2 linked regions of the Neodiprion lecontei genome follow. The protein of the gene in region 1 interacts with the protein of each later gene in a biochemical or structural test. Links are inferred from orthologs where the notes say so. Each region holds a gene or a part of one and is shown on either strand. Other genes may lie near its edges. The genes, in order: nuclear pore complex protein Nup155 and mRNA export factor Gle1.

What was found.
Region 2: the proteins of nuclear pore complex protein Nup155 (region 1) and mRNA export factor Gle1 form a complex in vitro, tested with the Homo sapiens proteins (2 studies listed by BioGRID). The link is inferred for Neodiprion lecontei from reciprocal best matches to the Homo sapiens genes NUP155 and GLE1.

What each region holds. Positions count from the first base shown.
Region 1 is NC_060265.1:27,705,958-27,711,179, reverse strand, and holds the start of nuclear pore complex protein Nup155, read left to right. Parts: upstream 1-2,040; 5' UTR 2,041-2,680; exon of another isoform or gene 2,681-2,808; intron 2,809-3,124; 5' UTR 3,125-3,166; coding exon 3,167-3,287; intron 3,288-3,381; coding exon 3,382-3,519; intron 3,520-3,623; coding exon 3,624-3,720; intron 3,721-3,784; coding exon 3,785-3,948; intron 3,949-4,029; coding exon 4,030-4,175; intron 4,176-4,250; coding exon 4,251-4,516; intron 4,517-4,619; coding exon 4,620-4,870; intron 4,871-4,944; coding exon 4,945-5,198; intron 5,199-5,222. Other genes in the region: transferrin, read left to right, coding at 1-96, 307-542, 637-916, 1,006-1,067, 1,160-1,428, 1,577-1,669.
Region 2 is NC_060264.1:4,404,233-4,410,325, forward strand, and holds mRNA export factor Gle1, read left to right. Parts: upstream 1-1,737; 5' UTR 1,738-2,032; coding exon 2,033-2,047; intron 2,048-2,144; coding exon 2,145-2,444; intron 2,445-2,518; coding exon 2,519-2,977; intron 2,978-3,159; coding exon 3,160-3,250; intron 3,251-3,312; coding exon 3,313-3,573; intron 3,574-3,655; coding exon 3,656-3,960; intron 3,961-4,031; coding exon 4,032-4,410; intron 4,411-4,500; coding exon 4,501-4,754; 3' UTR 4,755-5,389; downstream 5,390-6,093. Other genes in the region: clustered mitochondria protein homolog, read right to left, coding at 1,261-1,357; uncharacterized protein LOC107227322, read right to left, coding at 5,390-5,559, 5,967-6,093. UniProt on the Homo sapiens protein: Required for the export of mRNAs containing poly(A) tails from the nucleus into the cytoplasm. May be involved in the terminal step of the mRNA transport through the nuclear pore complex (NPC).

The sequences.
Region 1 (5,222 bases):
GGACTTCGGCGGTCCGATGAAGAGTGCCAAATGGTGTGTTTGGTCCACGGAAGCTCTCGACAAGTGCAATGCCTTCGCCAGAGCAACGTTCTCCAGGTAATTAAAATGTGCTATTGCTGGAATTGAAGTTCATTTTACAGTAACTATACCATGATTAAGTTAAATTACTTTCGTTTATAGTCGATGTGCAATATATTAATTGGATTTTAATCTTGCAATTATACCTAGTATGCCGATTAGAAATTTGAGAATTCGTATTTGGTAATTGCCTGAGATATTTGCGTCATAATTTATGCCTCCCGACAGGGATGTGAGACCCAAGCTGGAATGTCTCCTTGAGAAGGACGTGGATACGTGTCTGAAGTCAGTTAAAGACGGCAAAGCCGACATAGTCTCAATCGATGGTGGTTTGGTGGACAAGGCAATGAAAGAGTACGACGCGAAACCTATAATTGCTGAAAAGTACGGCGAAGGTGCAACGAAAGAAAGTGAAAGACCGGCGGTTGCCGTCGTGAAGAAGACGAGCTCCATCAACAACTTGGGTATGGATATGTTTGATCATACCGTTGTTACGATACGTCTCAACAACGTGACATAGTCACGACAGTAATTTTTTCAAACTTTTTTAACGTTTAGTCGACCTGAAGGGCAAAAAATCCTGCCACAACGGCTACAAGGGCAGTTTTGCTGGATGGTCGGCTCCCGTTCACGCGCTGAAGGCAGCCAAGCAGATCACAAACCCTGACGATTTGGCGGAATTCTTTTCCGGAAGTTGCGCACCCGGAGCACCTCAGCAATCGAAACTCTGCTCGCAGTGTGCCGGAAACATCGCTTCCGGCTCCGACAAGATCATCCAAGAGACTAAGTGTAAGCCCATAGAAGCTGAAGCCTTCAACGGCGATCTGGGAGCACTGAGGTACGCCATTGCATATTACGGGTGGTTTATCCACTTCGCGATTATTTCACTTTTTTGATATTCACTGGTCTCTTATTTACTTTACACAGGTGTCTCATTGCCGGAAACGGAGATGTCGCCTTCGTTTCTTACACGGCGCTGTTTCAACTTGGTGAGAATTTCGTTCGCTTCGAGGGTTTTTACCGCGGAACTTGAGTGTTTGCATACTCGCTCGAATCGATCATTTTTCATTTGATCTTTCAGATAAACTTGGCACGCCCGACCAAATTCCAAAGGGATCGGACTTCGAGCTCCTCTGTGCAAATGGTGGTCGCGCCCCGATTGAAGATGGTAAAAGGTGCAATCTCGGTGTCGAACCCCCGCGAGTCATCGTCATCTCTGGTAGTAGGAGTGAAAATGCTCGCCGTGAATTCATCCATGGAATTCTAGACGCTAGCTCTACCTACGCTGAAAGCCCTGAGCTCTTTTCACTTTTCGGAAACTGGGATGGCAAATCCAATCTCATTTTCAAGGTGATTTGATATTGGTCTCACAGACATCAGTGATCGGATATGTGAAAGAAAGAAGTCATTTCACTTCTTTTGAAATTCGGGTTTGAAAACCGATGTTTTTTCACATTCTACGGAGTTGGAGATTATTTTATACAATTTTTATTTACAGGACGATGCCATCGACCTGAAATCCGTTGACGACACCTGGGAATCGTGGGGCACCTGGGCAACGACTCAACAGGAATACAACATCGCCTCGTAAGGAATCGGCGCATAACAGAAGCTGGCCAAGGAATGAATATTTACAACTAATCGTATAAACGCATTAAGCTATAAGTGTTGTAACATAATATGTAAGCCGCCACTCGTATCGAAATTTTTATATGACTTATACGAATAAGATACCTTTATATATAATTTAAATATAAAACGTATCAGACTCGAAATTGTTGTCACTAAAATACATCTTGTGTGATCATCTGATCAGAGACTTCAGCATTCCCTTATTTATTACCGAAAAATTGCCGCTGTATTTGTATCGATACTTTTCATTTATTTAAACTTACCAAATGATTAGAATCCGATGCATGAGTTTCTGGTAGTGAGACATTATACACGCACTAATCAACTTATTCTATTTTTCTATAAGCATGAAAGCTAGCGAAAGTTCATATGTTACATAAATTAGATATTATAATACATCACGTTTTTTGTTCATGTATTGTTTTCATGGAACCGTTAACCGAAGATATATACTTCAGTCAACGATGCAGCTACATGTTTCAGTAGAACTGTGTTTAAACTAAGTCTCTTTCTTCTAAGTACATACATCATCACTCTTCTTAACTTTAAGTGGGTCTGAATCTTTCAAAATTTATTAATGTTTCAGTACACAATGCGAAATTGAAATCTCCTCCTCTAAGCTGGTATGCACGCCATTGGCTGATGATAATGTGCTGTGACGTGATTGGCTAACCGCCGAACCAGCTGTAGCGGCGTGAGTGAAGAAGCGGCCATTGTGCATGGCTCCCTCGTGCGTGAGGTTAGGCTGTGAATTAAGCAACGATTATAACGGATTACGAATTGTGATATCTATTGGTTGTGTGAGATCATTGAATATCTGTGAATAATTCATAATTAATCGATCGTCATATCTCCGCAACACGTATGGAAAAATCAAATTTACATGCATTTGCGTTCGATCACTGTACTTACCCGCCAAAGCCGGCACCAACACTACTTTAGGGTGAAACTATAAACAACGGTTTCTTAAGTGAGTAACAACAGCATTTGACCTATAAAGGTTTCTCAGTTGAACTAGTAAACGATTATACTTTAAAATAATTCAAAAGTCTTTTATTATTCTTGTCCGAGCTACCGTTCTGACGACATGCGACGAAGGTAACCTCAAATGTCAATTCCAAGTACTTGATTCCATTCGTTCAGCGGTCTAGATGAATTAACTTATTAATTTGAATAAATTATTATTATAACTGATCCACTTCTATTGTCTTCGTCTTAATTTATTAATCACCTCTGGTTCCTAATTCAATTGAACTTCTAATTTATTTCACACACCAAATATTTTCTGAATAACAATCAATTGTCGCTTCGAGAATGTAAACGGTCTGCCTCTATTCCGGTTATATATCAAAATCACCTGTGTAGTTGCAATGCTCATGGATACATTGTTCAATACAAATTTAATTTATTTCAGATATAAACAATAGCAGCAATAACAGCACTTAATTGTATAACAATGGAGCCGCTGAAGATCCACCTGGATGCATTGGAGATGGCTGGAAAAATGCTCGACAAACACATCACAGCCGATAGCAATTTTCCGTCCCTAATAAATCTTATGCACTACAACGCACAAGGTGACTATAGCAAAGTAATAAGTACGCAGAAGACCTCATTATTAGTTATAGTAATAAACAAATAGTAATCGAAAATCACTTTATCTGTTTCCAGGTGGTCCAACAGTCAGTGGTCTTGACGATCATGATTATCCCAATTTGAGCGGCACTTCCATCAGCTTTTCAACCATTAATCAGATGAGAATGCATGGCAAAGTTCCGTTGCCATCTGAAGTGATGGAGCACTTCGGCCGTATCCTTCAAAAAATAACAATGAATATTTTATAGGCGTGGGATTTACAATTTCATAGGTTTTGACTTTCAATATGCCTGTTTCACCCTTAGTAAAAAATATAGATATGCAATGTCATTGTATGATGGGCTTATTCACCGATATCTCGAAGGCCTGGCTAACAATCGATAGTGATATTTATGTCTGGTCTTACGAAAATGGGTAAGAAAAATTTTTTATCAAGCTTATCTAGTTCATCCTATTTGACGCAAGTACAAAATTCCAGGGCTGACGTGGCTTATTTTGACGGGCTCAATGAGACAATAATAAGTGTTGGGTTGGTCAAACCGAAACCAGGAATATTTCAGAGTTATGTCAAATATTTATTGATTCTGACCACAACGATCGAAATATCTGTACTCGGTGTGACATTTTCGGATACCAATGATGGTAATTGTCGAACTTTTTTTCTTTCTTAAACACACTTCACATGTCAAATAGTTTACTCAACTTATCTACATTCTACTCCAGGAACACCGGGAGAAATGCAGCTTGTACCTGAGCCAATATTCATAGTCCCTACTGATGGAATAGCTATCACAACAATAGCTAATACCAATAGTGGTCGAATATTTCTTGGTGGCAGAAATGGCTCACTTTACGAGATATATTACCAGGTGACCGATAGACCATTCTTAGTGTGTAGCCATATGTTCTTCCATCTATTTTTCAATACTGCTTTATTCACATAGGCTGAGAGCTCATGGTTCGGTAAGCGTTGCAAAAAAATAAACCACTCCGAAGGTCCGCTATCCTTTTTGGTACCATCGTTTGTCACAGTTGCCTTGTCTGAAGAGGAAGCAATTGTTCAAATATCTGTTGACGATAGTAGAAACATTTTATACACCCTCGGTGATAAGGGTACCATAGCTGTCTGGGATATAGACAAAGGAAATGCATCAAAAATTACATCTGTATCGCAAGCTTCGCTGGTCCAAAATGCTGTCCATGTTGTAAAGTAAGATTCTTTACTTTTATAATTTTAAAAACCTTCGTGTCTATTACTCTTAAAGTTGGTGGATGCATCATTAAGTATTTCACGATATTATTCGACATTGCAGAACACTGGATAGCAACAATTTCCGACCTCTTGTCAGCATATCTGCCCTAGCGGAATCAGAATCCATCCATCTTAATTTAGTTGCCGTTGCAGCAACCGGGACGCGCTTTTATTTGACCTGCAGTTCAATTGCAAATCCGTCTAGTAGACCACATTGTCTCCAACTGATACACGTCAGACTTCCGCCAGGATATGCAGCTAATGCTCCCATTTCCAGACCAAGAAAAGTTCAAATGGCACACTATAGAAAAGGTGAATGAAATTTCCTGTGCCAGGTTAGATACCGCATTTTTATTCTTCATGTCACTATTATATTTCATATTCAGGCACCCTTCTTCTAATCTGCGGTGGAGATACAGAAACGGCATGGTGCTTGAGTAACGATGCTTACCCATTCACTAACTACTTGGCTGAAACGCAGAGTGTTTTGCCATTAGATAGCCCTGCTTGGGCCATGGCTGAGATCCCTGGAGAAACAGTTGTTCATATTGAGAAACAAACTAATCCACACGGAGATCCTCCTCTACTAGTCAGGCAGCACATGGAGGCACCTCGTAAATTCATATTTTTAACAGCACAGGTATTTCGCTCAATCTATTCCATG
Region 2 (6,093 bases), on another chromosome or scaffold:
TTCGGAAAATAATTTTTCATTTACGAAAATTATCGGAATATCGAGTGAGAAAAGAGTGAGAGAGAAAAACGTGAAATATCTTAATTACAATGAATATACCAATGAAAATAGCCTTTTTGCAGCCAGATTCTGGTCGTAGCGAAGAAACCACATGCATGGGCTTTCGTATTCACCGAAACAACGAATCGTGGCCTCGAGACTCTCGGTTCAACTCTCGGTAACTACGCACCGCTCTATGGGACATTGATTTCTCAGTTTGCATACTCTTTGAGTTTGCCATGTACAAGCAAATTCGTACGGCATACCAATTTCAAGGAATAAGAAAAACCTGTTTCATTTGATTTCGGCAACGCATTGATTGTAGTGGTCGGTGAAAAATCGCTGTTTATGGGACGGTGTACTTTCTGCCACAAAAATGTTAATGATCAGAATAGCATTGAATAATTTTTAGAATAAAAAACACGTCTGTCTGCAGAGTAAGCGGCGTCAATTTTCGAATCACGAAAACTCGCTTTAAAATCAATTAGAATACCATAGGAACAAATGAAAACCATTATCCATCCGAGATTAGTGTTACGGGTATTTATTGTGAAATAGACTGAGCTTAGAGGTATTTACTTTTGTGTCATTGCGAAGAGGACAACACTCCGTGTTTCGATCCGAAATGCAAAGGAGAGGAAAATAAAAGAAGTCAGGGGAAATACACGGAGTGAACGGAACGATAAATTCGTTACTAATGATGATGCAATTTGAGGGAAGGGGCGGACCAGTTAGAAGCGGTAATGTAGATCTGGACGCGAATGACGGGAAAAGCGAGAGTGTCTGTTATGTTAATAAATTCAGTTTATTATCAATCACGTATAAAATTGAACGCGATCGATCGATTCGATAACACGAGAAGGGCGCGGGCCTGTCTATGGGCGTCCATCCTCACGTTCGAAAATCAAAATATTTCGTCTGCAGCGTCGGCTGCTGTTCGAGGTAGGAGTCGCCGCCGCAATCGGCGCGCTCACATGACCCCCGCACTGGCTCGTTCGTAATTCGAGTTACATAACCACCCGGCTAATTTCATGATATAACTACGTTGTTAAACTGCAACAAAACGCACGGGGTGCACTAACGTAGTTCGAGAATCACTGCGTTACGTAACGGTTAGCGTTAAATGTTGGATTCGGAGGTTGGACCCGGTTGAGACTGGCTGAGGTAAAATTGAAAAAAAAAAAAAAAGACGAGGAAAACGTATCAACATTTTTCGCTCACCCTTCGCGGTCGATTCCTCCTTCACGTTCCCATTCACTATCGGAATCTTTTCTGTCCCGTTATCACCGGTCGTCTCCACCTGCGAGCCGAGAGCCATTATTTTTACAATTTTACAACCAACCCTGCACTCTCACACCTTTCCTCCAACACAACCGCACAAATACAGGAAATTATTTTTCACGGGGACCGTCGTGCTCTGCTCCGCTCCGCTGTTGCTGCACGTGCGTTTCGACCAGAGTACAAAGTCTAGTGCTTTCCATTGGCGCATTCTCCTCGTTCCATGTTCACATTACTTCTAGATCTTTGTGGCAATTCGTTTCTTCAAGGTCAGCGTTGATTGGACGGCCTTCGAGCTGCCACTCTTATAAAATAAAATTGTCACTTGATCTAGGGTCTTTTCAAATATCACTAGAGAATAAAAACGCAGCCGTGAACCGGTGGCGACATCTGACACAAGCAAGACACATTAACATCAGTTGGGTACATTTCCAAACTAACAGTGTGTGTGGTTGTTATGTTGCTAGCGTTGTCAAATATTTAACCTATTGTATTTATTAACCTACAATGTATAAAATATAGTTTTGTTGAAACATGTGCTACTGATATTATGAAATAAACATCAGCTGACTATGGGGAACGTATTGATACCCCTGCGGCCAGATTGTTCAAAAATTTGATAGAATAATGAAACGGAGGACAAACGACTCCTAATTGACGTATTTATATAACTTTCTTTGGACTGTACAACGATATAACACATTTTGCAAGAACAATGAATGGCGAAACGGTATGAATAATAGTTAATGAATTTTTGAGTTGAAAATTGTTAATAAACCATTTATACGTTAACAAACTTATGATGCATATATAATTCTTATTTTTAGCAGCATAACATGAATGACATTACCTCAGACTTTACGTGTCTCAAAGTATCCGCTTTGTGTAAGGCGTCTCGCATATCAGACGCTGTTCGGCACGTCACGATTGGTCCAGACTCTGTCTTGATTCCTGACTATCATGTGGACAACGAGAACATTGAAAATGAGCCGAACAACGGTATAACCAAAGAGGTTAGACCACAGCCGAGGTCACAAAGTCCAAAAATATCAACCAGAAGCGGTATAACTTTTTCGATAAAGAAAATCTTGCTCGAAAATGAGGTGCAACGAAGAGAAGAAGTCAAAGTAAGAAGCTTACAGCAAATTTCCTTTACACTTTTGGCCAAGAAACAAAAACCAACTTTGCATTCATTTTTCAGCAAAACATGCAACGCCGCCTTCAGAGTATGATGAGGGCGGAAGCTGAACTGCGAGAACAAATGGCTGTGATTCGGAACACGATGATAGCTGACAGAGAGCATCAGGAAAGTCTAGAGAAGGATGAAATTGCCAGGCTTGAGGCTGAGGAGGAACACGTGGCTCAACAAAATGAAATTAAAAGGAAACATGAACAGCAATTACATGCACAGAGGATATTGGAGCGGAAAGAGAAATTGGAACGGGAAGTTGAGGAACAGAGAATAAGGAATCAAGAAAAGCAAGTACTGTTTGAGAAAATGCTCCCGCTCCATGCAAGCTTTACGTCGACTTACCAGAACATCAGCACGGTATCAAAGTCCTGCAAGGACAGGAATATCCTTGGACCTGCCTTTGCACCGCATTCAGTCAAGCTGAAGGAGCTCAGCAAACGCATGGAAGGACTGCTCGAGCGTGCTAAAGTGAGGTTTTACTGTAGTGTAATTGCAGGATGCTTACTTGATCTGTCTTTTCTATTTTTGGACGTTTTGTGCTTCTTATATTCAATTTACCAATTTCTTTTCACAAACAGTCGAGTAAGAGCCCTGTAATTGCTCTATAATTTGGGACATTGACGACTGGTAACTAATGGTAACTGTTTTAGTCAGGCGAATTGACGGAAGAAGATGTTAACACTGCAGAGAGTCTTGCAAAACATAGTGAGAGTATCTTGAATACCTTCAAGCAAGAAATAGGTTAGTAGATACTAATATCTAAGTACAAACTGTTTCACATATTTTACCTCCTATGTTTTCAGATCGAATAAATGCTACCTACGATGCAGAAGTAGCTCGCAGGGAAGAGGAAGTGAGACAAGCCCAAGCGCAGATGCAATTAATGGCTTCTAAGGCTCAGGAAGCTGCAGTTCAACCTGATCAAAGTCCAAGTGAGACCAGTATTGAAAGTACTGGTGTCGAGGGCCAAATCACAGCAAATGCGTCAGAGGAGAATAGGGCACCAGAGACTACAAATCAGACACATTTATCAGTGGAATCAGTCGTCCCAGAGTCTAAAACAGGTGAGTGATGTAATTGCTATTTCATGTGGATAGCAGCTTTCGGTAAGAAATCACCTTGCTAATCTTTGTGTTTCATTTTCAGACGATCTTCTTGAGTTTGTTGACAAGGTTTCACTGCATACTTACCTCGACAGTCAACAGCTACTAGAAAATCATAAAATCATGTGCTCGCCTCTAACGCAATCGGAGAGTACAAAGAAGTTCCGGTTTGAGTGTCAAAAAGCAATAAATATACCGGTGAATGCGATTTCCGGTGTTAGCAGAGAACATCTTATGGACAAATACGAAAAGCTGCATAATTTGCTGGGCGGAAAGCCGCCGACTAATGCAAACCAACATCCGCAAGGCATACAGTTTTGCAAGCATACCTTGGCCAAGAAATTTGTGGTACGTTAAATATGTCGATGAAAATTTACCTTCTTTTTCATTGCACTACAACTTTCCACATATCTAAACAGAATCAAGGCGAAGCTCTAGTCTCCAGCAAACCGGAAATGGCATTTTCCGTTGCAGCAGTTATCGTGGCTCTCTGGAACGACTATCCGGACTTCGGTGAACTACTTTTGGCCTATTTCTACAAAACGTGCCCTTACTTAGTTCCGATATTCCTTCCTCAACAACAGGGCCAGTCTAACGAGGACTACTACAAATCATTGGGCTACAAATATTCAGAAGATGGAACCGTCGAACGGCAGGACAAATTCTTGAAGAGAATGTCTGGCTTGATGAGGCTTTATGCGGCTCTGACTGTAACCAGGCAGCGAAAGCTCGTCACGAGTTCACATCCCCATGGCTTACAAAACGCTTGGAGATGGTTGGCTGCTATTTTGAACATCGGTAAATGTTATTCAACGTTTTACCTGACTGTATTACTGAAAGTGATGTTTTCTTTGAATATTTGTTTTCAAATACGATTTTCACTTACAGAACCACGACCTGACATCTGTGCAACCTTGATACTCGACATGCTTGAAGTGACTGGACACGCGTTGTGGAAAACTTATCCAAAGCAATTCCCAAAGCTGCTGGCCTTACTTATCACCCAATATTATCCTCGTATGCATAGCATCGGAGGTACAGCCGGTGGTCCTCTTGCTCGGTTGGAACAGTTTTTGAAAAATTCTTTGACCAAAGGCTCTATACCACCCCCCGATGGTCAGCTGCCCCAAAATTTTTGGTAGCGGAGTAATTTTCCGAAAGTTTTATCACGGTGGAATCACGCGTCGTTGTTCGAAATTTCCGATGCTTCAACTAGAGATTGTTATTGTGCCGCTGCTTTTGTTGATTAAAAATCACAAAAAATTTTGGATTCTGTACATCGAATACCGTTAATAATCGCGTCACAGCCGTCGCGTGCATAATACTTGACCATAACGTGTTATGTGAATTATCATGTTAGCTCATTGTCGTGAGATTCTTTTTAGTGTAAATTAATTAGGCGGTTCATACAAGATTGACGAAAGAGAAGACGCGTCGAATTTGTAACAAATTTTTCCAATTTATTCAATTAGATAAGTTTCTTTTTTTTTTTTGATACGAAGTTTAAGCCACGAGTATACGTACACGTAATGAAGAATATGTTCGATTTAATATCATCCGTCAATTAAAATTTAACTGTGCTTTCTTCGATTTGATCGCACAGAAGGGCGAGGATGTTGGTCCGTCTTTTGCTGTATAACGTACCATGTACTTAATATAACAATGACAACCTCAAGAATGTGTGATATTGAACAAAGAGATTAAAACAACAAGTACAATGTAAAATATTGAAATCAAACACTACTACAATCCTTCGATCAACAAATTATCATCAAATCTAATAGTAACGAACGGTCGTTGGCACATCCTCTGCGCCTTCGTCGGTCATGTAGGCGTCCAAGGAATTCGACGTAAAGCCGATGACTCCGTAGGGAGAAAATCGTTCTGTCCAATGTTCGTTTTTCATCGCGGAGAGCAAGTACGATGATATTTTCTTCCTCAGTTCAGCTGTGAAGAAAAAATCGGAGCTAGATATGTGAAATAAGTGTAAAATGGGTGAAAGACAGGTGGCTATCAAGTAAGCGTTCGAAACCGCAGAGCGAGCCTATAATTTAATTCCTGTTATTATAGGACGAACGGCGCTTTACGTGTCCGAGGACGCGACGATGACTCGTCATTGCGTCAGCAGTGACGTAACCACGTGTCAAGGCGGCCTGGTGGGCCCTGATGTTGTCTTTTTATTATTATGATCCTCTTTTTTTAGGCGTTAGTCAAGATCTCAAGTCATCCGGTCAGCTTCATTCGATTTACTATTCAATTATGCCGCAACGGTGAATTACGCAAGCAATTTCGGGGATGCTGAGAAGCGGTTCGTCTAGCTGGCTCTGCGTGCATCGTTCAAACAAACCTCATACCTGAAACTGACTTATTGACGTAGATCGCGTACGGAGGCAACGGGCCAAGGCTCCCCAAGACGAAAAGGGAACCGATGCTGGGCGTCCGTTTTTGGTGAAAATTCAACACCGGCGCCTCGACGACTCC